4 linked regions of the Anolis sagrei genome follow. The protein of the gene in region 1 purifies or fractionates together with the protein of each later gene. This does not show direct contact. Links are inferred from orthologs where the notes say so. Each region holds a gene or a part of one and is shown in the gene's direction. Other genes may lie near its edges.

Evidence for each region.
Region 2: the proteins of SF3A1 (region 1) and PRPF19 fractionate together in Homo sapiens (co-fractionation; 3 studies listed by BioGRID and IntAct, with this or other methods). This does not show direct contact. The link is inferred for Anolis sagrei from reciprocal best matches to the Homo sapiens genes SF3A1 and PRPF19.
Region 3: the proteins of SF3A1 (region 1) and DHX15 purify together in Homo sapiens (co-immunoprecipitation; 5 studies listed by BioGRID and IntAct, with this or other methods). This does not show direct contact. The link is inferred for Anolis sagrei from reciprocal best matches to the Homo sapiens genes SF3A1 and DHX15.
Region 4: the proteins of SF3A1 (region 1) and RBM17 purify together in Homo sapiens (affinity purification with mass spectrometry; 4 studies listed by BioGRID and IntAct, counting the BioPlex papers as one, with this or other methods). This does not show direct contact. The link is inferred for Anolis sagrei from reciprocal best matches to the Homo sapiens genes SF3A1 and RBM17.

What each region holds. Positions count from the first base shown.
Region 1 is NC_090034.1:48,544,701-48,552,555, forward strand, and holds the start of SF3A1 (splicing factor 3A subunit 1), read left to right. Parts: upstream 1-4,844; 5' UTR 4,845-4,944; coding exon 4,945-5,007; intron 5,008-7,148; coding exon 7,149-7,261; intron 7,262-7,855. Other genes in the region: CCDC157 (coiled-coil domain-containing protein 157), read right to left, coding at 611-1,235, 1,900-2,074, 2,152-2,369. UniProt on the Homo sapiens protein: Component of the 17S U2 SnRNP complex of the spliceosome, a large ribonucleoprotein complex that removes introns from transcribed pre-mRNAs.
Region 2 is NC_090021.1:235,751,261-235,758,912, reverse strand, and holds the start of PRPF19 (pre-mRNA-processing factor 19), read left to right. Parts: upstream 1-4,646; 5' UTR 4,647-4,794; coding exon 4,795-4,813; intron 4,814-7,652. UniProt on the Homo sapiens protein: Ubiquitin-protein ligase which is a core component of several complexes mainly involved pre-mRNA splicing and DNA repair. Required for pre-mRNA splicing as component of the spliceosome.
Region 3 is NC_090025.1:112,388,419-112,396,393, reverse strand, and holds the start of DHX15 (ATP-dependent RNA helicase DHX15), read left to right. Parts: upstream 1-4,975; 5' UTR 4,976-5,085; coding exon 5,086-5,156; intron 5,157-7,975.
Region 4 is NC_090025.1:190,047,381-190,054,204, reverse strand, and holds the start of RBM17 (splicing factor 45), read left to right. Parts: upstream 1-3,803; 5' UTR 3,804-3,968; intron 3,969-4,281; 5' UTR 4,282-4,299; coding exon 4,300-4,422; intron 4,423-6,824. UniProt on the Homo sapiens protein: Splice factor that binds to the single-stranded 3'AG at the exon/intron border and promotes its utilization in the second catalytic step. Involved in the regulation of alternative splicing and the utilization of cryptic splice sites.

The sequences.
Region 1 (7,855 bases):
TTGGAAGCCCTGGAATATATTGGAGATGGGACCTGAGAGCAGGAGATATGGGATAAATCTTGGAGATGGGACCTAAGGATGGAGGGCAAGAGATTAGGGATATAGCTTGGAGATAGGACCCAAGATGAACAGCAGGAGATATAATAACAACAACAACAACAATAAATCTTGATTAATATCCTGCTTTTCTCCCACAAAGGGACCCAAAACGGCTTCCAACATGTTAAAAATACAACACAAAATCAACAATGATCAAAGACACAGATATAAAACAAAATAAGCAATCAGTAAAACAAATAAGCATTTAAAAACAATATACATATGGGATATATCTTGGAGATGAGACCTAAGATGAAGAGCAGGAGATATGGGATATATCTTTCTAAGTTTGTTATTTTGAGTTGTTCTATAAGTACACCTGATGTTGTTTATTTTATTGCTTATGATTTGATCTGTTACATCAGTATTGAAAGTTTGCCAATTTTCTGTTGTAAACAGCCCTGAGTCCCCTCAGGGAGATAGGGCAGTATAGAAATAAAGTTTATTATCATTATTCTCTTGGAGATAGGACCCAAGGATGGTGATCACACAATCCTTGGTGTCTACTCACTGTTCTGGAGATCTTCCTTTTCCTTCTCCAACCGTCCCACTCGTCGTAAGCTCTCCTTGTGCTTCTTCTCGAATGACTGCTCAGCCTCCTTCCTCTGTTGCTCTTGGGCTTCCTTCTCCTCCTGAAGGCGGACCTCCAAGTCCTCCACCTGCTTCTGGGCAGCTTCCAGCTCTCCCTTCAAAGGGCCCACCAACTCTGTCAGTGTCCGGAGGTGCTTGCCAATCCGGGAAATGTCCTTGCTCTGCTCGGCGGCCCAATAGTCAATGTCCACAACGGACAGGGCTCTGCCCCCAAGGGTCTCCTCTGCGGTCTTGAGGAACTTGCCCAGAGATGATGGGAGGTTTTGGCCTTCGCAGAGGCCGACAATGGCACGGCCCACTTCCTGGAGGCTGGTCTGGGCCTTCTCGCAGGCTTCACAAGGCACTACGGGCGGCTCAGTAGTTAGAGAAGGGATACAGTTGGGGAAGTGTCCATACATTTGCCCACTGGCAATTGACGAGGTCAATGAAGAATCCTGCATGCCCAGTATGGTAACATCTGACTCCGATTGTTGGGAGCAAGAGCTTCTGGTCCGTTTGCTCTCTGCTTGTTCTCTGCTAGAAACATCCTCTTTGTTGCCTTTTTTCTTGGTTAAGAGATAAAAGCAAGATATAAATAAGTAGGAGGAAGAGAAGGAGAGGAGGGGGGAGAGAAATAAAAGAAGGAGGAGGAGGAGATTGAAGAGAGGAGGAGGACAAGAAGAAAAGGAGAAGCAAACGAAGGGAAAGGAGAAGGGAAAAGAACGAAAGTAAGTAGAAGGAGGACAAGATGGTGGAGGAGGAGGAGTAGAAAGAACAGGAGAAGGAGACAAAAAAGGAAGAGAAGGAGGAGAGGGAAGAGGAGGAGGAAAAAGAAGAAGAAGGAGAAGGAGGACAAGGTGGTGGAGGAGGAGGAGTAGAAAGAAAAGGAGAAGGAGACAAAAAAGGAAGAGAAGGAGGAGAGGGAAGAGGAGGAGGAAAAAGAAGAAGAAGGAGAAGGAGGACAAGGTGGAGAAGGAGTAGATGGAAAAGGAAGAGAGGGAAGAGGAGATAGAGGAAAAAGAAGAAGGAAAAGGAGTAGAAGGAGGACTAGGTGGAGAAGAGGAGTAGACAGAAAAGGAAGTGAAGAAGGAGAGGGAAGAGGAGATGGAGGGGGAAAAGCAGGAGGAGGAAAGGGAGAGAGAAAAGGAAAGGGAGGAAGAGAAGGAAAAGATGAAGAGGGAGAAGAGGTATAATTGGCTTCTGAGGTCTGTATGCAAAGCATGTCCCTACCTCCATCACCAGCTGCTGGTAGAGATTCCCCAGTTTCACCATGCTGTCCCAGTATGTCCTCACCGCCAATCCAACAGACATGGAAGGCCCCATTGCTCCGGATGGGGAGGAAGGAGCTCCTTCGCTGATCAGGTTCTCCGCATATTCCGTGAAGCTTTGGAAGAGCAGCAGCAGCCTCAAGGGAGCAGAAAACAAATCCTAGTTATCCTCCTTGGCTTCCAGGTGAGTTCTATCCTTCGGACTGTTCCTCACCTGTCAATGATGAGCTCCAAAAGGAGGACATGGGAGCGCTGGGTGAGTTCAGGATTGTTCTCCGCAAAGCCGTAACGCTCCAGCAAGGAAACCAGGTCCAAGTCGCAGGAGGCCTTATCCGGAAACTTCCACGAAGGACACCGGATGGGTCTGGATCGGGAGAAGACATCAATGACTGTTCCCTGAAGCTCAACGATGTCCCTCTGCAGGCTCTCCATGTTCTTTCAATTGACCAGGAAGGCCACCATCACAAACAATGAGGCATTGATGTTCCTGGAGCAAAAGAAAAGCTTCAAAATGAATTATTATTATTATTATTATTATTATTATCCTATATTTCTCTTTTGATCAAGGCACTAAAGTGACCACCATTATTGTTGTTGTTGTTATTAACTAATACCTTAATTTCTCTCTTCTAATCTTTGGATTGACTCAAAGCAAACACAATAATAATAATTATATTTATATTTATATTTATATTTTATCATGTCATCCGCTACCAGAACATTGTATTACATTCCTAACAGAACAAAACAAACAAACAGATAAAAAAAAACCCCACAAATTTTGCAAACTTGGCAGCTGATTAAATGTCCTTTGACCAGTATCTGGCCACCTGGAGTGCCTGTGGTGTTGCTGCAAGAAGTAACCAATCTTATACACCAATCTTCTCTCTCAATTGAGTCCCAAAGCAGCTAGTCATCATGTTGTCGAAGAGTTTAATGGTCGGAATCACTGGGTTGCTGTGAGCTTTCTGGGCTGTCTGGCCATGTTCCAGAAGCATTATCTCCTGACGTTTTACACCCACATCAATGGCAGGTATAATTAGAGGTTGTGAGGTCTGTTGGAAACTAGGCAAGTGGGGTTTATAGATATACCTGTGGAATAATGTCCAGGGTGGGAGAAAGAACTTTTGTCTGTTTGAGGTAAGTGTAAATGTTGCCATTGGCCAGCTTGATTAGCATTGAATAGCCTTGGAGCTTCAAAGCCTGGCTGCTTCCTGCTTGGGGAATCCTTTTTTGGGAGGTGTTAGCTGGCCCTGATTGATTCCTGTTTGGAATTCCCTAATTTTCTGACGGTTGTTCTTTATTTGTTGTTATGATTTTAGAGTTTTTTTAATACTGGTAGCCAGATTTTGTTCATTTTCATAGTTTCCTCCTTTCTTTTGAAATTGTCCACGTGCTTGCAGATTTCAATGGCTTCTCTATGTAATCTGTCATGGTGGTTGTCTGAGTGGCCCAGCATTGCTGTGTTCTCAAATAATATGCTGTGTCCAGATTGGTTCATCAGGTGCTCTGCTATGGCTGACTTCTCTAGTTGGATTAGTTTGCAGTACCTTTCATCTTCCTTGATTCGTGTCTGGGCAATGCTGTATTTGGTGACCCCTATGTAGACTTGTCCACAGCTGATTGGTATACGGTAGACTCTGGCAGAGGTGAGAGGATCCTTCTTGTTCTTTGCTGAACCTAGCATTTGTTGGATTTTCTTAGTGGGTCTGTAGATTGTTTGTAGATTGTGTTTCTTCATCGGGGCCAGCTAACACCTCCCAACAAAGAATTCCCTCAGGCAGGAAACAGCCAGGCTTTGAAGCTGCAAAGCCATTCAATGCTAATCAAGCTGGCCAATGGCGACATTCACACGTGCTGACAGACAAGAGTTATTTCTCTCACCCCGGACATAATTCCACAGGTATATATATAAACCCTGACAACCTCTGAGCATGCCTGCCATAGATGTGGGCAAAATGTCAGGAGAGAATGCTTCTGGCACATGGCCAGACAGCTCGGAAAACTTACAGCAACCCAGTGATTCCAGCCACAAAAGCCTTCAAACAACACAATAATACAATACTATAATATATAATAGGAATATTGTAATATAGTAATACTAATATATTAACTATAATTGCTACTGATAATATATAATTATAAGATACACTGATTTATTGTATTTTTGTATATTTTAAGTTTTATGTTTTTGAATCTCCATATGGAGAGATATAGAGGGATATAAATCAATAAAATATATAATAACACATTACATTATAAAATATATAATAGAGATATAATTAATCATCATCATCATGTTAACATTCCTGTTTTGTCCAATAGAATAATAACAGTGGGTATTCTGGACTCAGACCCAGCTGCTTTGTCCAATGAAGAGGCCTTCTGAGGGAAGAAGTCCAAAAAGCCTGGAGCCCAAGATTGGGAAAACACAACTCTAGGACTATGTATAGAAATAATATATTCAAGAAATGCTTCGTATTCATGTTTCATCCTTAATTGGCTGAATGGCTCATTTAGAAAACGGCACGCCGTTAACTGTGTGTAGTTACCTACGGAATGCCCGCCTCTTACTGCTAGCAGGCTTCTTCTCGCGTTCTAGGCCTCGGCTGCTGCCATGGCAACGAAGAACGCTTCCCTCGCTCCGCCCCTTTTATTATAGAGAGCATAACATACAATTGATAAAAACTTCCGGAAAGGGGAGTGCATGTACCTAAAGGGGGCGTGGCTATGGTTACCAGGAGGAGGGGGCGTTGAAAGGGGCGTGACTTCCCCGTGCAGCTGGGATTGCAAGGGGAAGGGGAGCGCATGCGCTTAAAGGGGGCGTGACTACGGGTTTCCAGGAGGAGGACGTTTAAAGGGGCGTGGCTATCCCCGCACAGCCCCCTCCTCTTGTGGGCGGGGCTGTTACTGGCTGCGCGCGCACCCGTCGCCATTTTTCTCGGTCCTATCGCAGCTGTTGGCGTCTTTCTTCTCCGCGGTTGTACTCCGGAGCGAAGTGAGAGTCATGCCGGCGGGGCCCGTCCAGGTGATGGCTCCGGCCCAAGCCACGCCGCCCGAGGCCAAACAGGTATTTCTTGCTCGGGAAGAAAACGACTCTTTTCCCCCTTTAACCCACCTCAAGGCAGAGCCGCCATTCCCATGATGCATTGCGGGGCGAGGGGGGCTTTTCCCAGGGCGCTTTGCGCGAGGGACTTGAGGGCCCCCGTGGGATCATATACACACCTGTATTATATATTATACTAGCTTGAAAGGGGCATTGTTTGTCTTTGGATGTTCGGTGGGGTTCAAAGAGATCTCTGAATATGGGTGAACTACAACTCCCAGATTTCAAGGTTAATCACTCCAGAGTCCACCAGTGTACAAAGTTGGCCACGTTGGATCTGTATGCCGAGCCTGGTCCAGATCCGTACTCGGCTGGGTGCAGTGCTCTCTGGATAAAGGTGAACTACAACTCCAAAATATCCAGGTCAAATCCCCCAAAATTATTATTATTAAGTTATTATTAAACTTTATTTGTACCCCGCTAGCATCTCCCGCAGGACTCGATGCGGCTTACAAAGGCCAAGGCCTCAACACAACAAGAACAAAACAATAACAATACCATTTAGAGTAAATTAAAACATAAGCAATAACAAGACAATACATCAATTACAGAATAAAAAACCAGGGCCAGGCCAGTGATGGGTACAGGTTAAAAAGTGCTGGGTGTGGCAGGTGGTATGTTGGATTTCCGGGCAAGTGCAATGCACAGAGAGCCTTAAACTCGAATAAAGTGCTTCTGGGACATAGTGCTGGAGATTATCCTATTCCAGAAAGGCACATCGGAATAGCCAGGTCTTCAGATTCTTCCTGAAGACTGCCAACATGGGTGCTAGTCTAATATCTTTGGGGAGGGTGTTCCAGAGTTGGGGGCAACCACAGAGAAGGCCCTGTCCCTCGTCTCCAGCAAACACGCCTGTGACACAGGTGGGATCGTAAGCAGGGCCTCTCCGGATGAACAAAGGGATCACGTGGGTTCATACACGGAGATGCGGTCACGCAGGTAGGCAGGTCCCAAACCGTTTAGGGCTTTGTAGGTAAGCACCTGCACCTTGAATTGGGTTTGCTAGGTAAACGGCAGCCCAATAGAGCTCCTTAAACAGGAGGGTTGATCTCTCTCTGTAAGGAGCGCCAGTTAACATCCTGGCCGCCGCCCGTTGAACCAGTTGGAATTTCCGAGCCATTTTCAAGGGCAGCTCCACGTAGAGCGCATTACAGTAACTTCTCCAGAAGTACACTGGCAGCAACAACGTGTGTCAACCAGTGTAACAGCAAGGCAAAACATTCACATGGAACAATCAGAAAGAAAGATCAGCGTTTAAATGGCAGAAGTACAAAGATGTGGCAAGGAAGCACCAAGCGAAGAGCCAGAAGCCTCCTTTTCTTCTTCCTACTTCCCTCATTCCAGCCCCCCTCCCTCTCTCCATGAAGCCAAACAAACCAGGAATAAAAACCACACAAAACCAACTAACCACAAATTCCTCAAAGTGGACATGAGCACAAGGCATGAAGGCTGCTCTCTTGAAGCCCTGGCACTTGTTCTTAACTGGAAACATTGCTTGTGTGTCAAAGCAAAACCAGGGCCGAGCAACAATTCTTAATTCTAAATGCTCCTAAATACTCCTAAGTTGGGGCACTCTTAAGTAGAGATTCCACTGTATATATTTTTGGCTGGAGTTAAAAATGTGTGTGTTCTGACTTACAAACAAATTCAGCTTCAGAACAAACATACGGAACTGTTTTGTGTGTAACTTGGCGGCTGCCTGTTATAGCATTGTTGATGTTCACAATGTGGATGGTATTGATATAACTTATTATTGTCATTATTATTATCTAGTTCAGGAAATGCAGGTTCTTGTCCACTGGAGGGCCATGTCCTTGGCTGTTTGTTATCATTGTGATTAATCTTGCTGTTATTAATTCTTCACATTGCTGGAACTGGAGGCTGCTTCACCCGCAGTTAAATGTGTTTAGAATAACAGAAGAAGATACACAGGCTTAGAGACAAATCCTTAAAAAGAGTCTTGGCCTGGGATTGAGGAAAATGCATGTGCCCACTCACCCACCCCCTGCCATGAATTTCATGGATGGCTAGAAGTTATTATGTTGTTGATGATTATGATGATTCAGTTCTGTCCCACCATTTTGTTATGTTAATTCTCATTGCAGCCAGAAGATGAGCCAAAAGAGGAGGCAGTGCCCGCCAAGCCGGTGGTGGGCATCATCTACCCTCCGCCAGAGGTCAGGAACATTGTGGACAAGACAGCCAGCTTTGTGGCCAGGTGAGTGTTAGTCTTCTGTTTCATAGGAATCAATAAAGAGGACAGTTGTGGCTATGTCTGGCTATATGAAATTATATATATATGATATTAAAATATTCTATTTAAATGCACCATATTTAAATATATGACCTATAAGTGACAAGTATGTAGGTATGAAGGGGCAGTTTTAATCTCAGTGGGGAGGGAGTTCCAAAGTTTTATACAAATAAATAGAAAATATTTTATATTGTATGTTTTGATGCTATTGCAAACCGCCTTGAGTCCGTTGGAGAAAGACAATCTGGAAATTTCCTAAATAATAAGTTAATAAATGTTATTTAAATACAATAACAATAAATGACACATTTCTAGTATATATAGAGTTTAAGTACGTGTTTTTATAGTCATTTATGTAATTTTTTATTTTCAATGTTGTGCTTACAGGAGAAGTGGTATGAAGGGAGTGGTCTCAAATGTTGTGTATATTTTTGAAAACCAAGTGAAAACATTAATAGAAAAATAGATATATTGGGAGAAAAATTAAGTGAATAATAATAATCATAATAATGGGTGGGGAAAAGGGGGTTACTTGCTCTGCATTTGGGTGAGATGTCT
Region 2 (7,652 bases), on another chromosome or scaffold:
TACACCTATCAGGCCAACGAGTGACCAACACTCATAAAGACACTGGAAACACAGTGGAAGAGACTTAAAATGCCAAAAAAATAAAAATATAATGCACACACAAAACCACATATACACAGACTGGGCCTCAGCAATGCATGGCAGGGGATGGCTAGTGTAATAATAATAATAATAATAATAATAATAATAATAATTACAATAAATCTTTATACCACGCCACCATCTCCCCAAGGGGACTCAGGGCGGCTTACATGAGGCCAAGCCCAGCAATACAGTGAAACAATATAACACAGTAACACAGCAAAAAATAAAGAAAAAGAAAAAATGAAGTACAAGAACCAATATAAATAAACACATCAGACAATATAAAATCAGAACATTCGAACATAGAAAATTGATCACAGTGGGCAGGGCCAATTGCAAAAGATAAAAAAATTTTAAAACTCTGGGTGAGAGATCAATGTAATGTATCAGGACAGGGGATCCGGAGGACAAAGTAGGGTTTGATTGCACTAGATGCAGTCTCAGTTCTTCCTCTCAATTCCCCAAGTTTTGCTTTTTTGTGTTGTCAAAGGCTTTCATGGCCATAATCACTGAGTTGCCGTGGGTTTTCCGGGCTGTATGGCCATGTTCCAGAAGCATTCTCACCTGACATTTCACCCACATCTATGGCAAGCATCCTCAGAGGTTGTGAGGTCTGTTGGAAACTAGGCAAGTGGAGTTTATATATCTGTGGAATGTCCAGGGTGGGAGAAAGAACTCTTGTCCGCTTGAGACAAGTGTGAATGTTGCAATAGTCTTGCAGCTTCAAAGCCTAGCTATTTCCTGCCTGGGGGAATCCTTTGTTGGGAGATGTTAGCTGGCCCCAATTGTTTCCTGTCTGGATTTCCAGCTATGTCTCTGTGTGATAGGTAATGCTGTTTTATGTATTGTGTTTAATAATGTTTATTTTTTTATTAGAGGAGGGCCAGTTTTAATGTTTTATACTGTTTTTATCGATGGCATTGAATTGTTGCCAACACACAACCGCCCTGAATCCCCTTCGGGATTGTGAAGGGCGGTATACAAATATCACAAATAATAAATAAATAATATCCCCTGGTTTTTTTAGTGTTTTGCCCACATCTGTGGCAGCTAACACAGGCAAGGGCAAACTTCTGCCCTCCAGGTGTTTTGGACTTCAATTCCTACAATCCCTAACAGCCGGGGGGGGGGGGGGGAGTTGAACCAGCTGTGGGAGTTGAAGTCCAAAACACCTGGAGGGTTGAAGTTTGCCCATGCCTGAGTGGATTCCTCCAGGCAGGAAGCAGCCAGGCTTTGAAGCTGGAAGGCTATTCAATGCTAATGAAACTGGCCAGTTGCAACATTCACACTTGCCTCAAACAGACAAGAGTTTTTTCTCCTACCCTGTACATTCCATAGATCTATAAATCCCACTTGCCTAGTTTCCAACAGACCTCGCAACCTCTGATGCCTGCCATAGATATGAGCGAAATGTCAGACCATGCTTCTGGAACATGGTCATACAGCTCAGAAAATTCACAGCAACCAACACTTTGCAAGAAAAAATTTGCAAGAAAGAAATTGCAAGAAGGGAGTGGAAAGCAAATATAAAAATGTAAACACTGTGCATTTGTTTTATTTACTTATTTTGTTTTTTATCCTGCCTTTCTCCTGATATATAATGATAAATAGGGTACAATGCAAGTTAAATAAATGTAAATGAATTAAAATATAAGTATATAAAAACACGATTAAACCCTTTGTGTCATCAAATATAAAAACATTAAAATACATTACAAACTAAATCCCAGTCACCTTACACCCAGCAGTCCACCTTTAATCATTTCTTATAGAGTCAGATTTATTTAATTTATTTTTTTTTAAAAAAATCTGCTCTAATCCTTTCCCTCCACTACGTTGTGCATTTGATGAATTTTGAGGAAACTCTGATCCATATAATCTTAAGAGATTGTCTCTATGTATAAGTGCTCTGTGGTTTGTGTCATCACCATCCGGGCTCAAAATTGGTTACAGGACTTCCTATGTAATCGTCTGCACAGCAAAACCAGTTTGTTTGTTTTTTCTTCTTTTAAAAATCTTTTTGCTTTTTTATTGTAATGTATTCATAAATTACTCATCCACAATCCTTCTTGGACGTTTGGTGGTTTAAATTCGCCATTGCTTTTACACATGAAACTAATAAATGGTTTCCAGGTTTTATCAAATAGATTTTCTTTCAATTCACTTTTTTGCTAATCTTAATTTATATATCTTAATTTATAAATTAACTTTTCTTATAGAGTTATCACCCACATCCCGTTTAACCAGCTCTTTATTGTCAGATCCTCTAACTTTTTTCCAGGTTTTCACAATTTTGAGTCTTGTGACACATAACAGGAGTAGTATTTTTTTATTATTTACCACAGAACCTTATTCTCACTTTTGAATACCCAAATCGGTACTGTTCCATTATCCAGACAAAGGCCACCAGGGGGCAGTAGAGAGAGAAGGATAGTCTATTTTATGGGGAGGGGGGAGTTGAAGGAGGAAAACCACTTCCCCCATTTTGCTGGTTATTCCCCCTCTCTCTTTCCCCACTCCTCCCCCCAAATGGACTATCCTTCTCTCTCTAGTGCCCCCTGCTGGCCCCCGCGTGCATAATGAAACAATACCCAGAAATCATTTATAGAGCTCCCCTGAAGTGAAGTTTCCCCACTACTTGGCTTATGCATGATAGCACTTCCTCCCAGAATCTCCATACTTTATGCACATTAGCCACATGTGGCTCCAATCCCATATTACTCTCCAGTATGGGATCCCATATTACTCTCCAGTATGGGATCCAATATTATTCTCTGATCCCATATTACTCTCCAAGTAAAGATTCTATTGATTTTATGTAGTTTGAGTGGATAATGGTACCATCTATGCATAATTTTCAGAGTATTTTCTTTCAGTTGTGCTGAAATTGATATATAAGATTGGATTTTCCAAACTGAGTTCCATTTTCTCCTCTATTTAAACCCTAAATCTAATTCCCATATTAATCTCAATCCATTCAATGATCCAATTTTGCTTCCTGAATTGTCTGACATATTTTTGAGACTTGACCTTTGGTTTATCATTGCAGATTTATTCAAATTACAGTGCACTTGGGGGTGGGGACTTCATTTCTGATTATTGCAAGCATTTTCTTCAATACCAGTTTGACACTGCATTAAATGGTAAGTGTACTTGGGACCCCCAGTTCATTTAAGAAGGGTGACATTAGTTGGTTGCTGGGCTTGTAGTTTAGGGGAGGGGGCCTTTAAATGCTCAGCCAGAGAGGTCCTGGGTCTCACTGAACTACAACTCCCTGTGTATGTAAGCCTCCTTGAGTCCCCTATGGGGTTGAGAAGGTGTATAAATGGGACAAATAAATAAATAACGCCTGGAATTCTGCAGGAGGCAGCACAAGATTTCAGATGCTTTGCCTACTCTTTAAGCTCTAGTAATGCCATATACATAGGGCCACCATAAGTCGAACTCAACTTGACAGCAGCCAATTCCCCATGCAGACCTCTCCTGATTGTTGTTGTTCATTCGTTGTCGTTTCTGACTCTTCGTGACCTCATGGAACAGCCCACGCCAGAGCTCCCTGTCGGCCGTCACCACCCTCAGCTCCTTCAAGGTCAATCCAGTCACTTCAAGGATCCCATCCATCCATCTTGCCCTTGGTCAGCCCCTCTTCCTTTTTCTTTCCATTTTCCCCAGCATCGTCTTCTGTATGCTTTCCTTTCTTCTCATGATGTGGCCAAAGTACTTCATCTTTGCCTCTACTATCCTTCCCTCCAATGAGCAGTTGGGCTTTATTTCCTGAAGTATGGACTCCTCAGATCACAACTGTGAATTATAGAGTGCAGCTGCATGTAGAAATTTCATGTTTTGTAGTCTAGAATGCTGAGAAGCTGTAATTTTAGACCTCGAGTTAGGGCAAACAAGCTCTTTCTACCTTCTACATCTGGATGGGATCCTTATTATCCAAACACAATTTCAACTAAAATTCTACCCTTCTTCCTTTGTTTCCTTAATGCCTCTGTAAAAAGGGGGAAGGAAGATTCAAGAGGCAACTGAAGACATAGGCCTAATGTTTAAATCCATGCATGTACGCGCCTTCAAACCACCTCATAGATTTCGCAGGTTTCTTCTTGGTTTGGCCAGTTCTTTCCTCTGAGATATAACCTACGGTGCCTGGTATTCCTCGGCGGTCTCCCATCCAAGCACTAACCAGGGCTGTCCCTGCTTAACTTCAAAGAGGTTGCTCCCTCTGGTGTATTATTTGGCTCTCTGCAGGATAATGATAATAACTGCCTTGGCTAAAAGCTATAGGTATCTGGGCTTTGTCTTTTTGTGAGAAATCCACTCTTCTCTGCCAGAGAGCTTCTTTGCCACAACAAACTTCAAATCCCAGAATTCTACGGGATTGAGCAATTTCAGTCAAACCCGTGTCAAGCGCTACAATTCGGTCGTGCGGCTCCCCTCTAAGAGGCGCTCTGTGTCCGCGGTGCATGCTGGGAGCTGTAGTTGACGGAACGCTCAGCCCAAACCGGAAGTACTCGCGTGGGACCGTTAGGCCTTGCGGCTTTGGCAGCGCACGTGACGAGGAAAGTCGGAGGGGTCCATTTCCGGCCGGGGCAACCTTCTCCCGCGCGCGCTGCAGCTCGAGTTGAAAGGCGACCGGAAGCAGAACCTTCCCCTTCGCTCTAGTGGCCCGGAAGCAGCCGTAAGGCCCATGTCGAGGAGGCGCTCGCCATGTCCCTCATATGCTCCAGTGAGTGAACCGCTTTCATTCCCCTTTCGGCCCCACTCTGTGTCTTGTCTCCCCTTCATAAAGTCGGCCGAGAAAAGAGTGCCAGGCAGGGCTATTCTGGTTTAAGAAGAGTGATGGGAAGGCAAAGCGGGCGCACTTGGGGTGCATTTCCATAGAGACTTGTGAAAAGGTTACGCGGTTTGCCTCGTTCTTTGTGTCCGTTTCTATGGAGGCCGAGCTCCCAGGCACTTCGGCTGCTTTGCTGCAGCAAATGGGAGGTTTGCTCTGGAATTCCCGCCTGAATGGATGAAGGGCTCCGTACATTGGTCGAAAAGGGATCAAGGCAACTCGAATTGTTGATTTGGGGCAATGAAAGGCTTATACTTGCGTCGGGTTTTCTGCTCTTTCCACTCCATAGCCCTTAATGGGCATTGCTCTGTTTTAAGCCCTGTATTTCCGAGGGGGTTTTGTTAAAAAGAGCAGCTTTTCTCAGGTCTCCACGTGCATTTGTGGTAAACATGAAATTTGAATTAGGGATTTCTATATTGGGCTTCTATTTGCAATGCTTCTCCTATTCTCATCTACATTGTAGAATTAATGTATTTTGAGACTGCTTTAACTGCTATGGTTCAGTGCCAAGGAATCCTGGGAGTTGTAGTTTGGTGAGGCAGCATCACTTTGGCAGAGAAGGGCAAAGGCCTTGTAAAACTACAACTCCCGTGATTCCATAGCATTGAGCCATTGCAGGTAAAGTGGGGTCAGACTGCATTACTTCTTCGGTTTAGACCAGTGTTTGCCAGTCTTTAGTCCTCCAGGTGTTTTGGACTTTAGCTCCCACAATTCCTAAAAGCCAGTAAACTGGCTGGGATTTCTGAGAGTTGAAGTCCAAAAAACCTGGAGGACCAAAAGTTTGGGAAACACTGGTCTAGATGCAGTCAAAGTTTCTTTGGGATTTCTCTGACTAGTATTGGGTTCTTTTATAATCCTGCACATGGTTTTTCTGAGGTCCTGCTGTGTCTACATACGTATCTCTCTGTGTATATATACACATGCACACACATAAACTTGGACTATGACTCTGGAGACCAGGGTTCGAATCCATGAAAACCCACTGGGTTATCCTGAGCCAAGCACACACTTTCAGCCGACTGACCTTTGTGATACGGGCCTCTTCCACACAGCTGCTTTGAACTGGGATATATAGCAGTGTGGACTCAGATCACTCAATTCAAAACAAATATTGTAGGGTATTCCGCCTTGTTATTCTAGTTTATTTGGCTGCGTGGAAGGCCCACAGTCACAGAAAATGACTTGAAGACACACAATAACAAAACTTTAGCCATAATGATCTAGGTTTTAAGCCTAAATAGTTTACTAGTCCTGTTGAAGCTATGGAGCTGTTACAAAAGAGAGGATGGATACTTGTTTTCTGGTCCCTCCAGGACAGGACAATCTAGTCCACATAAGTTGCAGGAGGGAAGTTTTCAAACTTGACTCTTGGGGAAACTTCTCACTGATAAGAGCAGTTTGATAATGAGAATGATTTCCTAGATTTCTGGGGTGATACTATTAGTTGTGCCAGGCAGCAAGGAGCCATACAGTCCTAGCATGTTTTTTCTAGTTCTTGTAGCCTGCAACCACAGTAGATAAAAAAATACTTATGCTGAATGATATCATCTTATTAGTGAAACAAAATCAGTAAGATGAGGGACTCTTTTTTGCTGGCAGTCCTCACCGAACTGGAGAGCTATTTTTGAGGATGCTTTAGCTCTAGAATTCCTACATGAGTGAATTTAGTGAGGAACTGGGTAGCCCATAAGATTCCCTTCCATTGTTATAAACAAGAATATCCTTGGTATTGGTCTTAATTGTCTGGTTGATGCTTAAATAGCTTGCTGATTGTCATCTTGCAAGCATTGTCCTTCTTACCTTTCACTTCATTAAAAATCCACATTTTTCTCTGATTTTCAGACATAGAGATGCCATGGGACAAGATAGCTTTCTTTGTCAAAGGTTCATTTGAAGAGGATTTTTTTCATCTGTTTATTTTATTTTTTCCTACCTTTCTACCAATATAAGGACATAAGGTGGTTAACAATAAATATAAAATCATACCAATAAAACAGTTCTAACCCATAAATAAAAAGTATAAACATAAAATTAAAGAAACAACAAGATTCATGTTACTACAATAATTCCCATTAAAATATTAAAATGTGTGTGTGTAAATATAGTTCTTTATGTATTTTCAACTATTAACTAATTAATAACTAGCATGGTGTAGTAGTGGTTTGAGTGTTAGACTAGGACCAGGGTTCAAATTCCTGCTGGGCGATGGAACCTAACTAGATGACTTTGGGCAAGGTTTATTCTTTCAGACAAAGAGAGAGTAGAAAGGGTTTGGCACTTCTTTTAGGTTATCCCGGGACAGACTACATTCTTACCTTTTGCCACTACTGAGAGAAAAGGATGCTCCCCCCCTTTTAAATTGCATTTAAGGTACAGTGTTTATGTTGACTTATATGTATGTCAACTCAGTTTTGGGGGGATTCATCTTTTTAAGTAAAGTTTTTAGACTTATGTGTGTGTATATGTTATAAAGCAACATTGTCTGAACAGCTGTGCTGGCATGATTTCTTACAGATAGAGATTGATGACTTACCCCAAATGGGCAGATCAGTGCATTGCTGTTTTAGAGTGTTGAATGAATACTTGAAAGGGACTTTGTAGTGTAGTTCCATACATTGTTGTTTTCATATGCCCTTATTAAATATCTGTTGTTCATCAAAAAGCTCCAATATATGAGGAAGGACCATTGCCTTCAAATGAACCTCAAATAGCTATTCAGGGATGTGTGGCA
Region 3 (7,975 bases), on another chromosome or scaffold:
AATGGTTAAATATTATGGAATCAGGTGAGTTGGAGTTTTACAAAGTCTTCAACTTTCTGTGCCAAATAGTGCTGGTGCCCCATCAAACTATTGTATCTACTTTATCCTATGCTTGGAACTGATGCGATCCTGCTTATCCTTTGCTCTTGCTAGAAAAACATCTTTTTAGTATAGTTCTTCAATGCAATGCTTCCACCACTTTGTTCTTGATCATACCTTGTGTTCCCTTGTTGATCATATAGTATCAATAATCTTGGCCAAAATTTCTCTTCTATTTCTTGGATCTTGTTCCAGAGATTCCCAGGTTTTGTTTTGTTGTCTTGGTCTTTTTATTTGCAATGGTTATTGTAATACAGTTGTCCTCTTTGTCCTTGTTAACAAGCCACTGAACTTTGGAGTTCAAGACACTGTCTATATTTCTTTCACTGTTGCTTCTCCCTTGTCCTTAACTGTTGAAGAACTGAGCATGTCATCTGATGTGACTTTGTTTTCTTTTTGGCTACAGATAGTCTTCTTGCATTCTTCTCCTGCTACTGTCATTATAAGATAAGGTAAAGTTTTTCCCTGACTCTAAGAGTTCAGTCTGACTCTGGGGGGTGGTGCTCATCTCCATTTCTAAGCTGAAGACATGGAGCACCAAATGCATGGAGCACTGTTACCTTCCTGCCAAAGCAGTACCTATTGATCTACTCACATTTGCATGTTTTCGAACTACTAGGTTGGCAGAAGCTGGGGCTAACAATGGGAGCTCACCCTTTCCATGGATTTGAACAACTGGTCAGCAAGTTGTGCAGCTTAGCCATTTAACCTGCTGCATCACTATATATTAATAATGCAATATAATATAATAATTTATATGTATGTGTGTGTATGTATATAGATAACATTATATTATTTTACATAATTAATATATATTTATGTGTGTGTGTATAGATAGATAGATTGCTGTTGGAACCAATTGAAACCAAGTCTCCCACAGCATCACTTGGAAGCCTCTCAATATATATAATATAATAATATATAGAATAACAGCATTGTGATGTAATAATACTATTATATTATATATAATATTAATAATGTTGCAATATTATATACAGTATTATGTATACTATATCTTATGATATAGTGCAATACATTATATAATAAAATAGTATATTATACTGGTAATGCATTATATATATATTGGTAAAATAATATACTATCATATAATAATATATAATAATGTCCTGATGGTGTAGTGGGTTAAAACGCTAAGCTGCTGAACTTGCTGACCAAAAGGTCAGGGGTTTGAATCTGGGAAGCAGGGTGAGCTCCTGCTGTTAGCCCCAGCTTCTGCCAACCTAGTAGTTTCAGCAGGAAGGTAATGGCACTCCATGTAGTCATGCTGGCCTCATGACCTTGGAGGCGTCTACAGACAACACCGGCTCTTCGGCTCAGAAAAGGAGATGAGCACCAACCCCCAGAGTCAGACACAACTGGACTTAATGTCAGGGGAAAAAATATTTACCTAACTAAATAATAATTGTATATTATATATTACATGTAATATTAGTAATAATATTGCAGTATTGTGGTATAGTGCAATATAGTAATATATAATACTAACATTGTGCTATGCTAATAATATATATTGTATATACATACAATATTGACAATATATAATGTGATACAATATAATACTAATATTTATTTGTTGTGTCACAGCAAACAATCCATTATATTACATTTCTAACAGAACAAAGCAAACAAACAGACAAATACAAAACTTGTGAGTTTGGTAGTTGGTTAAATGTCCTTTGACCAGTATCTAGCCACTTGGAGTGCTTCCGGTGTTGCTGCAAGAAGGTCCTCCATTGTGCATGTAGCAGGGCTCAGGTTGCATTGCAGCAGGTGGTCAGTGGTATGCTCCTCTCCACACTCGCATGTCGAGGATTCCACTTTGTACTTTGGGATGTACTTTGGCTCCACTTCTATTTAACTTTTACATCAACTCCATGGTGGAGCACCTTTACAACTTGGACTACCACCCTCCAAAACTGGCAGGAAGACACGTGTCTACCCTGCTTTATGCAGATGATGCAGTGATACTATCCAGAACTCAAGTAGGCCTGAGAAGAGCCCTGAGAGCCTTAACAAAATATTGTAATGAAGAACAGCTTCATCTTAATTATAAAAAAACCCAAAATTATGGTGTTTGCGAAATGACCCAAGCATCATACCTGGAGACTAGATGGACACAATATTGAACAGGTCTCCAGCTTTAAATACCTGGGAGTATTCTATCACCGCACAGGAAACAAGAAAGTACATATGGATTACGTAGCAGAGGCAGCACAAAAGAGCTCATATGCTATCCTAAAGTTCCTCAAAACAGGAGGAGGCCACTACATACCAGCTGCACTTAAGCTCTTTGAGGCAAAATCCATAGCACAAATGATGTATGGAGCCCAACTTGGTCCCTTCACAAACTATGCCCCTCTGGAGCAAGTACAATCAAAATTTCTAAGATCGGCGATGCAGGTCCCCAGATGTGTCTCAAACGCCACCCTGCGATTAGAGACAGGCCTTGTGAGAGTGGAGGCGAGAGTGTGGACAGCCACCCTCAATTATTGGCTGCATCTGTCTTTCTCAACATGTGGCCTTGCCCCATTAACTCTGAGAGATGAATTTCAGTCTACATGGAATAAGGCAGTGGCAACCAAAATCGCAACTCTAGGCTTCTCTCAAGGACAACTGCTAGGTATGGGATGGGACCAAGCCAAGGATCTTATTAGACAACGGATCCTGGATACAGAGCGACAATCAGACTTAGCCTGCTCTCCAGCATTCACCATTAGCGAAGATAGCAGATATCTCATCGCTCCCATGCCTTACTTAGCTAACCTGGAGGTGCCTAAACACCGAAGAGCTTTCACTTTGGCAAGATGCCACGCCCTTCCATCGGCAGTACTGGAGGGGAGGTACCGGAAGACCCCTGCTCAGGAGAGACTATGCCCGTGTGAGTCTGGCTACATCGAAACAACTGAACATGTGCTCCTCCAATGTGTGTTCTATAGAGACATTAGAGCTAATTTCATCACTCCATGGCTTTTAAAACATCCAGGGCGCACTGAAAGATATTACACCTCCCTGCTGCTCTCGGACTCTTGCTCTGCAACAACCTAGAGTGTTGCCAAGTTCTGTGCAGCAGCAATTAACATTAGATGGCTGATGACCGACTCCACCAGGCAACTTCCTGCCGGGAATATAGATAGAATGGTTTGTAATAACTGAAATGCTGTAAATGCTCCCCTCTCATCCCTTTTATAGCTTCCCATATTTGCTATTAGCCGCCCCCTATTTTAGATTCATACATGCACTTTAAACTGTAAGTTTAGTCTGTTTTATCTTTTTAATTTGTCTCTTTTATAACATGTTTTTAATCTGCTTTTAATCTGCTTTTATACTTGATCTACTTGGGAACTGCGATTCCCTCCCTTGGGCACCGATGCCCCATTCTGTACTGTGCTGGTCAAAGACCGTAATAAATCATTGATTGATTGATTGATTCCACTTTGTAGCCCCATTTCTCAAGGTTGGCTCTGCATCTCGTGGTGCCAGAGCGCAGTCTGTTCAGCGCCTTCCAAGTCGCCCAGTCTTCTGAGTGCCCAGGGGGGAGTCTCTCATCTGGTATCACCCATGAATTGAGGTGCTGGGTTTGGGCCTGCCACTTTTGGACTCTCGCTTGCTGGGGTGTTCCAGCGAGTGTCTCTGTAGATCTAAGAAAACTATGTCTTGATTTAAGTCGTTGACGTGCTGGCTGATACCCAAACAGGGGATGAGCAGGAGATGTCTCTGCCTTGGTCCTTTCACTATTGGCTGCTACTTCCCGGCGGATGTCAGGTGGTGCAATACCGGCTAAGCAGTGTAATTTCTCCAGTGGTGTGGGGCGCAGACACCCCGTGATAATGCGGCATGTTTCATTAAGAGCCACATCTACTGTTTTAGTGTGGTGAGATGTGTTCCACACTGGGCATGCATACTCAGCAACAGAGTAGCATAGCGCAAGGGCAGATGTCTTCACTGTGTCTGGTTGTGATCCCCAGGTTGTGCCAGTCAGCTTTCATATGATGTTGTTTCTAGCGCCCACCTTTTGTTTGATGTTCAGGCAGTGCTTCTTGTAGGTCAGAGCACGGTCCAAAGTGACTCCCAGGTATTTGGGTGTGTTGCAATGCTCCAGTGGGATTCCTTCCAAGGTGATCCTCAGAGCTCGGGATGCTTGTCCGTTCTTAAGGTGAAAGGCGCATGTCTGTGTTTTAGATGGATTAGGGATCAGTTGGTTTTCCCTGTAATAGGCAGTAAGAGCACCTAGAGCTTCGGAGAGCTTCTGTTCAACCATCTCGAAGCTCCCTGCTTGAGCAGTAATGGCACGATCATCAGCATAGATTAAACTCTCTGTCCCTTCTGGCAGTGGCTGGTCATTGGTGTAGATGTTGAACATGGATGGAGCAAGCACGCTCCCCTGAGGCAGCCGTTCTTCTGTTTCCGCCATCTGCTTCTCTGGCCCTGGAACTCAACCAAAAAGCTCCTGTTTTGTAGCAGGTTTCCTATGAGGCAGGTGAGGTGGTTATACATTTTTCTCAGGAGGAGGCGGTGGTTCACAGTATCATAGGCCGCTGACAAGTCTATGAAGACAGCTCCATAATACAATCTAACAATATATAAAAAATATTGTGATATAGTAATGCTGATATATTAAATATAATTACCACTGACAATTTACAATAAGACATAATGTCTTATTCTTGCATATTTTAAGTTGTAATGTTTTTGATTGTGAGCCGCTTTGAGTCTCCGTATGGAGAGACAAAGCGGGATATAAAAAAATAAAATAAACCGGAGGAGGAACTATTCTGCAGAGCGGAACGGAAATGCTAGGGAACAGAATTTCCGGCCGGACGTCTTACGCGCTGCACCGCATTCCCTTTCTACGCTGGGAAAGGCTCGCCTCGCGGCCGGCGCTGGCTTGCTTGCTTCCTTCCTGCCGCCATTTTAGCTCCTCGCTCTCTGGCTCGGCGGCGGCCTCCTCGGCTCTCAGCTCCCGCCATGTCCAAGCGGCACCGCCTCGACCTCGGGGACGACTACGGCTCCAACAAGAAGCGGCTCGCCTCCGACGGGTAAGACCCGAGCCGGGGCGAGGGAAGAGAACGGGAGGGGAGGCGCCGCTTCTCTCCCTCCCTCCTCCTCCTCTCTCTTTGGCCTTCGTTGTTTTGTGAATCCACTGAGGGGAGAGGGTGGTGGGAGGCGAATGTTGCTCATCTGGTTTTGGAGAACGCTCAGCGCCATTGGCCCTCCCTTACGCGTTATTTTTAGCCTCCCTTTTAGAGAACGAGGCATTGAGAGGCCTGGAGCCAGGCTTCGCGGCCTCTTTGTTGTAGCCAGGCTGAGGCCTGATCTACACTGAACTGCGGCGGCCAGACAACGAAACTCCCACAAAACCACGCGAAAGGAAGCCCTTAATCACTACCCAGGTCTCAAACTTTGTAATCATTTGGTCAACGAAACCCATTTTCTTCCATACCAGGGTTGTTGAAACTGCATTGAATGGTCAAATGGGGCCTAAGGATCAAGTGTCGTCAAATGGGCTGCTGAAAAAGCGACTACCTTTATAATAATAATAATAACCTTTATTTATACCCCCCCCCCCCGTCCTCAAGGACTTGCGGCAGCTCACAACAGAATCAAGTCACAATACATACATAAGTAGAAACCAAAAAGACAACAAGCATAGAGTTTGAAGAGACCTCATGGGCCATCCAGTCCAACCCCCTGCCAAAAAGCGCCAAAATGCGCCATATACTATTACATGAAACTTTGAGTTGGCATACACTTCTCTATCCCCTTAGCAAGCCATGACACCTTTAAAACCATTTATCAATTTTACATAAAATCTGACAATCAAAGAGCTGGAAGAGACCTCATGGGCTATCCAGTCCAACCCCCTGCCAAAAAGCAGGAATATTGCATTCAAAGCACCCCTGACAGATGGCCATCTAGCCTCTGTTTAAAAGCTTCCAAAGAAGGAGCCTCCACCACACTCCGGGGCAGAGAGTTCCTCTGCTGAACAGCTCTCACAGTCAGGAAGTTCTTCCTCATGTTCAGAAGGAATCTCCTTTCTTGTAGTTTGAAGCCATTGTTCTGCGTCCTAGTCTCCAGGAAAGCAGAAAACAAGTTTGCTCCCTCCTCCCTGTGACTTCCTGTCACATATTTATACATGGGTATCATATCTCCGCTCAGCCTTCTCTTCTTCTGGCTAAACATGCTGAGCTCCTTAAGTTGCTCCTCATAGGGCTTGCTCTCCAGACCCTTGATCATTTTAGTTGCCCTCCTCTGGACACATTCCCGCTTGTCAATATCGCTCTTCAATTGTGGTGCCCAGAATTGGACACAATATTCCAAGTGTGGTCAAACCAAGGCGGAATAGAGGGGTAGCATTCCTTCCCTAGATCTAGACACTACGCTCCTATTGATGCAGGTCAAAATCCCATTGGCTTTTTTTGCCGCCACGTCACATTGTTGGCTCATGTTTAACTTGTTGTCCACGAGAACTCCAATAGCTTTTTCACCCATACTGCTCTCAAGCCAGGCGTCCCCCATTCTGTATCTTTGCAAGACCTTATATATAACCAATAATCATAAAAGAATTTTTTTAAAGTATCACAATAAATAAATAACAGATTAAAAATGGTACTTGGTTTCAAAACATGGAGTCAATAGGCTAAAAAGCTAAAAAACCACCATCAGAATGAAAAGCAACCAACCATTTTCAAAAGCCAGCTTCCGCATTCAAGTTTTTCGCTCTTTCCTAAAGTTAGTTGTCTGATTACTTTCGGGTGAGCATTCCAAACCTGGGGGGCCACCACCAAGAAGGTCCTTTCTCATTCCCATCAGCCATGCTTGTGAGGGTGTTGGGACCATCGCTTCTCGGCCTTTTGGCTAAGATCAAGTGTAGAGAAGCCACCCCCCCCCCCCCAGGACTTTCAGGCCCGAGTTGGTTCATAGGGGAAATGCGGTCCCACAAATAGGCTGGATCTTTCACTCCTGCTTCATGTTGACCATTTGTAAGTGGAAAGCTAAGGAATCAGATAGAAAGTATTGGGGGCCATCTGCACAGGCCTGCAATGCAGTTTATCTGCATTGAACTTCATTATATGATTTTACATTGACCGTATAATAAAGTTTCAAACTGCATTATATAGCATTGGAGATGGGGCCTGTGTTTCATACATGGGAAAAATCAGCTTCATTTGAACCAGATACACATGCTGTCTGTGCTTCATATATCCAATGACAAATGTGCCATATACTATTACATGAAACTTTGAGTTGGCACACACTTCTCTATCCCCTTAGCAAGCCATGACACCTTTCTGAGAGTCTCAGAAAGCTGATTCCTGCAAGCAAAACCTTCTGCAGACCCTTTAAAACCATTTATCAATGTTACATAAAATCTGACAATCATAGAGCTGGAAGAGACCTCATGGGCTATCCAGTCCAACCCCCTGCCAAGAAGCAGGAAAATCACATTCAAAGCACCCCAACAGATGGCCATCCAGCCTCTGCTTAAAGGTCTCCTAAGAAGGAGCCTCCACCACATTCAGAGGCAGAGAGTTCCACTGCTGAACAGCGCTCACAGTCAGGAAGTTCTTCCTAATGTTCAGGTGGAATCTCCTTTCCTGTAATTTGAAGCCATTGTTCTGCGTCCTATTCTCTAGGGCAGCAAAAAATAATAATAATCATCACCATCACCTTTATTTTTAACATTCACAAAATATCAAAACATATAATATAAAACACATAATATAAGACAAAATTGCGTAGATTAAAATACATATAAAATATAAATCTCCATAATTTAGAATTATCTGTTATCAGCATCGCCACAAGGTAAAATCAATGATAGTCTACTTTCATTCCTTGCTCCCTCTTCCTTACG
Region 4 (6,824 bases), on another chromosome or scaffold:
AAACTAGGACTTCGTGGGTTTGAGGAGATTTGGTCCTTCTGAATTATTTAGTCCTCTTTATTGCTTCTTAAAGCAATGGTATTCCCCGTAGCAACCTATGGATGTAAGAGCTTGGACCATAAGGAAAGCTGAGCGAAGGAAGATAGACACTTTTGAACTGTGGTGTTGGAGGAAAATTCCGACAGTGCCTTGGACCACAAGAAGATCAAACCAGTCCATACTCCAGGAAATAATGCCTGACTGCTCACTGGAGGGAAGGATATTAGAGGCAAAGATGAAGTACTTTGAGCTCTGCGAGTGCAGCATTTTTCCAAATCAAGCAGAGAGTGTTTGAGGACCGGGGCATCCATAGGTGCTTGTTTATAAAGCTATTGTCCTCCCAACCCTGCTATACACCTGCAAGACGTGGACTATCTACAGACGTCACATGCAACTCCTAGAAGTACTTTGGCGACATCATGAGTAGATGGAATATTTTTGGAAGAGATCATGATGCTGGGGAAAATGGAAGGAAAAATGAAGAGGGGCCGACCAGAGGCAAGATGGATGGATAATAATTTTATTTTTATACCCCGCCTCCATCTCCCCGAAGGGACTCGGGGTGGCTTACAAGCGACATGGCCAGCAAATACAGATTAAAAACGAACACAAAAATACAGTCAATGTCTAAAAACAATGAAATAATATAATCAGATAAACATCATAAACCAATATTGTGGCTGACAACAATAGTGAGTTCAGGCTCAGGATTCCTAAAAGCTATTATTATTAGAAAATGTTGACAATTTCCGCTACCTTGGCAGCCACCTCTCCACAAAAGTCAACATTGACACTGATATACAACACCGCCTGAGCTCTGCGAGTGCAGCATTTTTCCAAATCAAGCAGAGAATGTTTGAGGACTGGGACATCTGTAGGGATACCAAGGTGCTTGTTTATAAAGCTATTGTCCTCCCAACCCTGCTATACACCTGTGAGACGTGGACTGTCTACAGACGTCACATGCAACTAGAACAATTCCATCAGTACTGCCTCCAAAAAATCCAGCAAATCTCTTGGGAAGACAGGAGGACAAATGTCAGCATGCTGAAAGTAGCAAAGACCACCAGCACGGAAGCGATGGTCCTCCACCAACAACTCCGCTGGACTGGCCGCTATCTGATCTCCTTCAGGAGCCCAGGGGGCACCACAGAGAAGACCCTTTCCCTCGTCCCCACCAACCGTGTTTGCTACAGAGGTGGAAGCGAGAGAAGAGCCTCCCCAAATGATCTTGGGGTATGTGCTGGTTCATAGGGGAAGATGCGATCATGAAGATAGGCAGGCCCTGAACCATTTAGAACTTTATAATGGGACCGGAAACTTATTGGCAGCAAATGGAGCTGTTTAAACGGGGGTTGACCACTCCCTGTAACTGTAATGATATCCTTGAAGTGACTGGCTTGACCTTGAAGGAACTGACCAAGGGGGAGCTTTGGTGTGGGCTGGTCCATGAGGTCACGAAGAGTCGGAGGCGACTGAATGAATAAACAACAACAAAGTCCTTCTTAAAATATAACAACTGGGACCAGTAGGATTTAGTTTGGTTGCAACTAACATTCCTCAAAGCTTTCAGTAGATATGACTAACTATGAATAAGTCTGGGTCTGTTCCTTTCCCCTTGGTCTTTATCTCACACTGCATTGGTTCTACAGATGCATTAATTGCCCTTAAACAACCTCCCCCCGCCCATGCGACTAAATATATCAGAGCTTAAATCAGCCTTTGACAATACCTTAAATCAGAGATTTTCAAACTTATCTGGCTTGTTACTCCCTTTTCAGAAAAAAAATAGTGCCCCATTGGAAATCTACCTTCTTTAAATGAACAAAGAGAACAATGTAGTGACAAATTTGCATTATTTTATATATTTGTAACTCCACTTACAATCTACAACATGGTACAGAAAGACAAATAGGAAACCTTGAAATTATAAAATCATGTATTAAAATGACCCACATTAACATTTGTAGTACACACAGAAAATTATGACAACGAAGGATATTAAAATGAAAATTATGAATAATATTTAAAATAATCCTAAATGAGGACGATGAACCTAGTGCTCTAATATTAACTTATTAATGTGTAGATCTATTTTTTTGTCAGCAGCATAGATTAATTTTTTAAAATACTTAGTCCATTTGAACCATTATTAACAGTTTGTCACACAATTCAGAAACAATCTAAATTAGATTTTATACATATCTATAGTATCAAGTTTGACATCAAGCCAGCTTCAATTTAGGATAATCTTATGAGACTTTTAAAGAGCCATGCTCAGAAATAGATCTATATCTACACAGGTAGTCCTTCACACTTGCAGATTTTGTTAATAAGGTCTAGAAATCTCTGTCTTTCAGTGCAAGTGAAAGCTAACTGCAGAGCTCCAAAATCCCTAGATGTTCTCTCAAATAAAAAATAACACTTTTCTATTTATTTATAGCTTTTTTTCACTTTTAGGGTTTTGATCCCCTAACCCTAGCAACTAGATGGCTAACTGTAGTATTGAAAGCTTGAAACAGCAAGAAGCTCAGATACTTATAACTTTCAAGATGTTATCCATCATCAAATCATGGCAGTGAACCAGATATATACAGTATTAGGGCTAATATAACCAATATATGTACCATTTGGAACCACTATATTACACCTAATATAAATAATATGCATAATAGTTGGAGCCACTACACTAGATCTAAAATAAATTGATTATATACATAATAGAGGAAATCACTACATTAGATCTAATAGAAAAATATACATAGTAATTGGAACCACTATACTAGATCTTATAAACAACATGCTTAGTAATAGGAACTACTATATTAAATCTAATATAAACAAGATACATAATAATGGGAACTACTATATTAGATCTATAGTAAATAATATGCATAATAGTGGGAATCACTACAGTAGATCTAATATAAATAATATACATAGTAATAGGAAGTACTATATTAGATGTAATATAAACATACATAGTAATGGGAACTATTATATTAGTTCTAATATAAACAAGATACATAGTAATGGGAACTATTATATTAGATCTAATAGAAATAATATACATAGTAATTGGAACCACTATATTAGATCTCATAATATAAACAACATGCTTAGTAATAGGAACTACTATATTAGATCTAAAATAAATAATATGCATAATAGTAGGAATCACTATATTAGATCTAATATAAATAATATAGTAATAGGAAGTAGTATATTAGATGTAATATAAACATACATAGTAATGGGAACTACTATATTAGATCTAAAATAAATAATATGCACAATATTGGGAATCACTACATTAGATCTAATATAAATAATTACATAGTAATAGGAAATACTATATTAGATGTAATATATACATAGTAATGGCAACTACTATATTCTAATATAAACAAGAAACATAGTAATGGGAACTACTATATTAGATCTAATATAAATATACATAGTAATGGAAGCTACTATATCAGATCTAATATAAACAATATACATAGTAATAAAGAATACTATATTAGGACTACATATAAATGGAGTACAATATCAAAGTATTTCCTGAGTTGCAGTTGCAGCTATGCGCCTTTAGGTGTCAGTGGAGAATCTTCCCCTATTCCCTTTGCTGCGTAGTTAGAGTAAACACTAACTTAGCCTTTTTGCCAGTTTACGGAACTGGCGTAGGTCTTACCTTCAGCGTGTGAAGCCTGTAGCCCAGCTCCGCCTCCTGCGCTACGAAGTTTACGCAGCCGCTGCGTCCCGCCGTTGAGACGCTCAGAGGCACGCCAAGGCGCTCTCGGGGAAGGACGCTGATTGGTTCTTTCCCTCCGTGACGCGGGAGCTTCTCCTACCCCCACAGAGGAGGCGTTTCCTTCGGCTTCGGGCCTTACTCGAGGCCCCGGCTTTGAGGCCTTGTGTGCGGAAGGGTAAGAAAAAACTGGAGGCCATTAGATTTCATTGTATACATGGGATAATATTATTTTGGAGTATTTTGGAGTTCTGGATAAGGGGTACTTGCCAGGGAGGAAGCTAGGGCCTTATTACAGCCATAAAGCCTCAAGGCCTGGGCCAACTTGGGCCCTCCAGGTGTTTTGGACTTCAACTCCCACAATTCCTAACAGCCTGCCGGCTGTTAGGAATTGTGGGAGTTGAAGTCCAAAACACCTGGAGGGCCCAAGTTGGCCCAGGCCTATTTTAAGTGATGCTGTGATTATTCTCCCTTGCCTTTTCCCTTCCTAGCTCTGAAGCAGAACCAAAATGTCGCTCTACGATGACTTGGGAGTGGAGACCAGCGATTCCAAGACAGAAGGCTGGTCCAAAAACTTCAAACTCCTGCAGTCTCAGCTGCAAGTGAAGAAGGCGGCACTCACCCAAGCAAAGGTAAGGATAAAAAGTCTGGTAGAAGCGACACCTGTCACTGATTGCTGAGGTAGCTGCCTTTAACTAAGCACAATGTTAATGTAGCAGTTATTATTATTAATATTTTGTTCAGTCAGTATCAACAAAATTGGGGTGTTGTAGGTTTCTCGGGCTATATGGCCATGTTCTAGAAGCATTTTCTCCTGACATTTCGCCTGCATCTATTTATTTATTTAAAACTGGTTTTGACCTACAAAACGCTTTACGGCTCCGGCCCAGCGTACATGTCCGAACGTATCTCCTTCTACGTTGATATTCAAGCAGTGCTCTTTCTAGGTCAGAACATAGTCCAGGATAACTCCCAGGTATTTTGGTGTGCTGCAGTGCTCCAGTGGGGGTTTCTTCCCAAGCAGTAATAATAATCTTTATTTATATCCCACTTTTATCTCTAACGGGACCCAAAGCAGCTCACAACATAATACAAATCAAATCACATTTAACATAAAATACAAGACAAAAACCACACAAAGCATAATAATGTCCAGAAATAAGACAGAAATAAATACTAAGCATTAAAAACATTTTATACCATTTATTTATTTATTTACGACATTTGTAGCCTGCCTTTCTCAACCATACGGCGACTCAAGGCGGGTTACAGATTACAATTATTGCGGAGACTCATCAATTAAAAGGTATATTTTGCTCAGCTCAGTGCAAATTAACCTTGCTATCATTAACAATTGAATTCATTCATCAAAAACCTGCTTGAACAGGTAGGTCTTCAAATGGTTCTTGAAAGATGACAGGGAGGAGGTAGTTTTAATCTCAAGGGGGAGGGAGTTCCAAAGAGCCAGGGCGGCTACTAAGAAGGCTCTCTCTCGTTGCCACCAACCATATTTGTGAGGGCGGTAATGAGAGAAGGATCTCTCTGGAAGATCTTAATGCTGTGGTTCTCAACCTGGGGTCCCCAGATGTTTTTGACCTTCAACTCCCAGAAATCCTAACAGCTGGTAAACTGGCTGGGATTTCTGGGAGTTGTGGGCCAAAAACATCTGGGTACCCACAGGTTGAGAACCACTGTCTTAATGGTCAGGCAGGTTGGTAAGAGGTGATGCGGTCAGATAGGTAATAATAATAAAATATAAAAACTATTTATATTTCACCCTGTCTTAATAATAATAATAACACTTTATTTGTACCCCGCTCCCATCTCCCCAAGGGACTCGGTGCGGCTTACATGAGACCAAGCCCGCAATACATCAAAAAATAAAACATCAATAAACAATCAATACACATAAACAAAATAGACAATAAGCAATCAACAGTAACATATAAGCATTTAAAACCAAAGGCCGGGCCAAATGTGATAGATTAAAATTAAAAAATAATGCTGATGTGAACAAGGTAGGATATAATTGGGATAGGATTTTCAGAGAGAATGCGGGAACGCAATCAATCCTAAAGCAGTAGTAAAGTGCATTTTGAGGACATAATGCTTCCCAGATGGACTCAGGGCAGATTCGAAACATAAAAGGTAAACATTCAGTGCCCGAACACAACAACAACACACCCATGATAACAAAATTTGGCAACTCAACATATAAAAACAAATTATGCCTTAATAATTAAAATTAAATAAAAACACAACCTATTAGATCGGACATTAGACAAAACATCAAACAGAAGCATCAATTTCCCAGTTCCATGGGGGCAAATAGATTGATCATTGCTCAAGATGTCTATTGAGCTGGTGGTGGGGTAAGTTGGGCCTCAAACATTTAGGGCTTTAAAGGTCAAAACCAGCACCTTGAATCGGGCTCGGAAACTTATTGGCAGCCAGTGTAGGTGCTGTAATGGTGGTGGTATGCTCCCTGGGTCCAGCACCTGTCAACCTGACTGCAGGTCTCTGAACTAGTTGGAGTTTCTGGGAACTTTTCAAGGGCAGCCCCACATAGTCTAAATGGGATGTAACTAAGATGCGGACCACCATAGCCAAGTCCAGTTTCTCAGGATACATTTGCAGCTGTCGCACAAGTTTTAATTGTGCAAAGACCCTCCTGGCCACAGCCAATACCTGGGCCTCCAGGCTTAGCAATGAGTCCAGGAGAGCCCCCAGACTTAAGACCTGTGTTTTCAGGGGGAGTGTGACCCCATCCAGCACAGGTTGCCACCCCATACCCCAATCTGCCTTACAACTGACCAGGCTTGGAGAATTATTAGCTCAAATTCAGTTTTCATCAGTGAAATGGAATGTTTAATGTCTTGTCGAAGGCTTTCATGGCTGGAATCACTGGCTTGTTTTGTGTTTTCTGGGCTCTATGGTCGTGTTCCAGAAGCATTCTCTCCTGACGTTTTGCCTGCATCTATGGCAGGCATCCTCAGAGGTTTGTTCAGAGGTCTGTGGGAATGAGGCAAGTGGA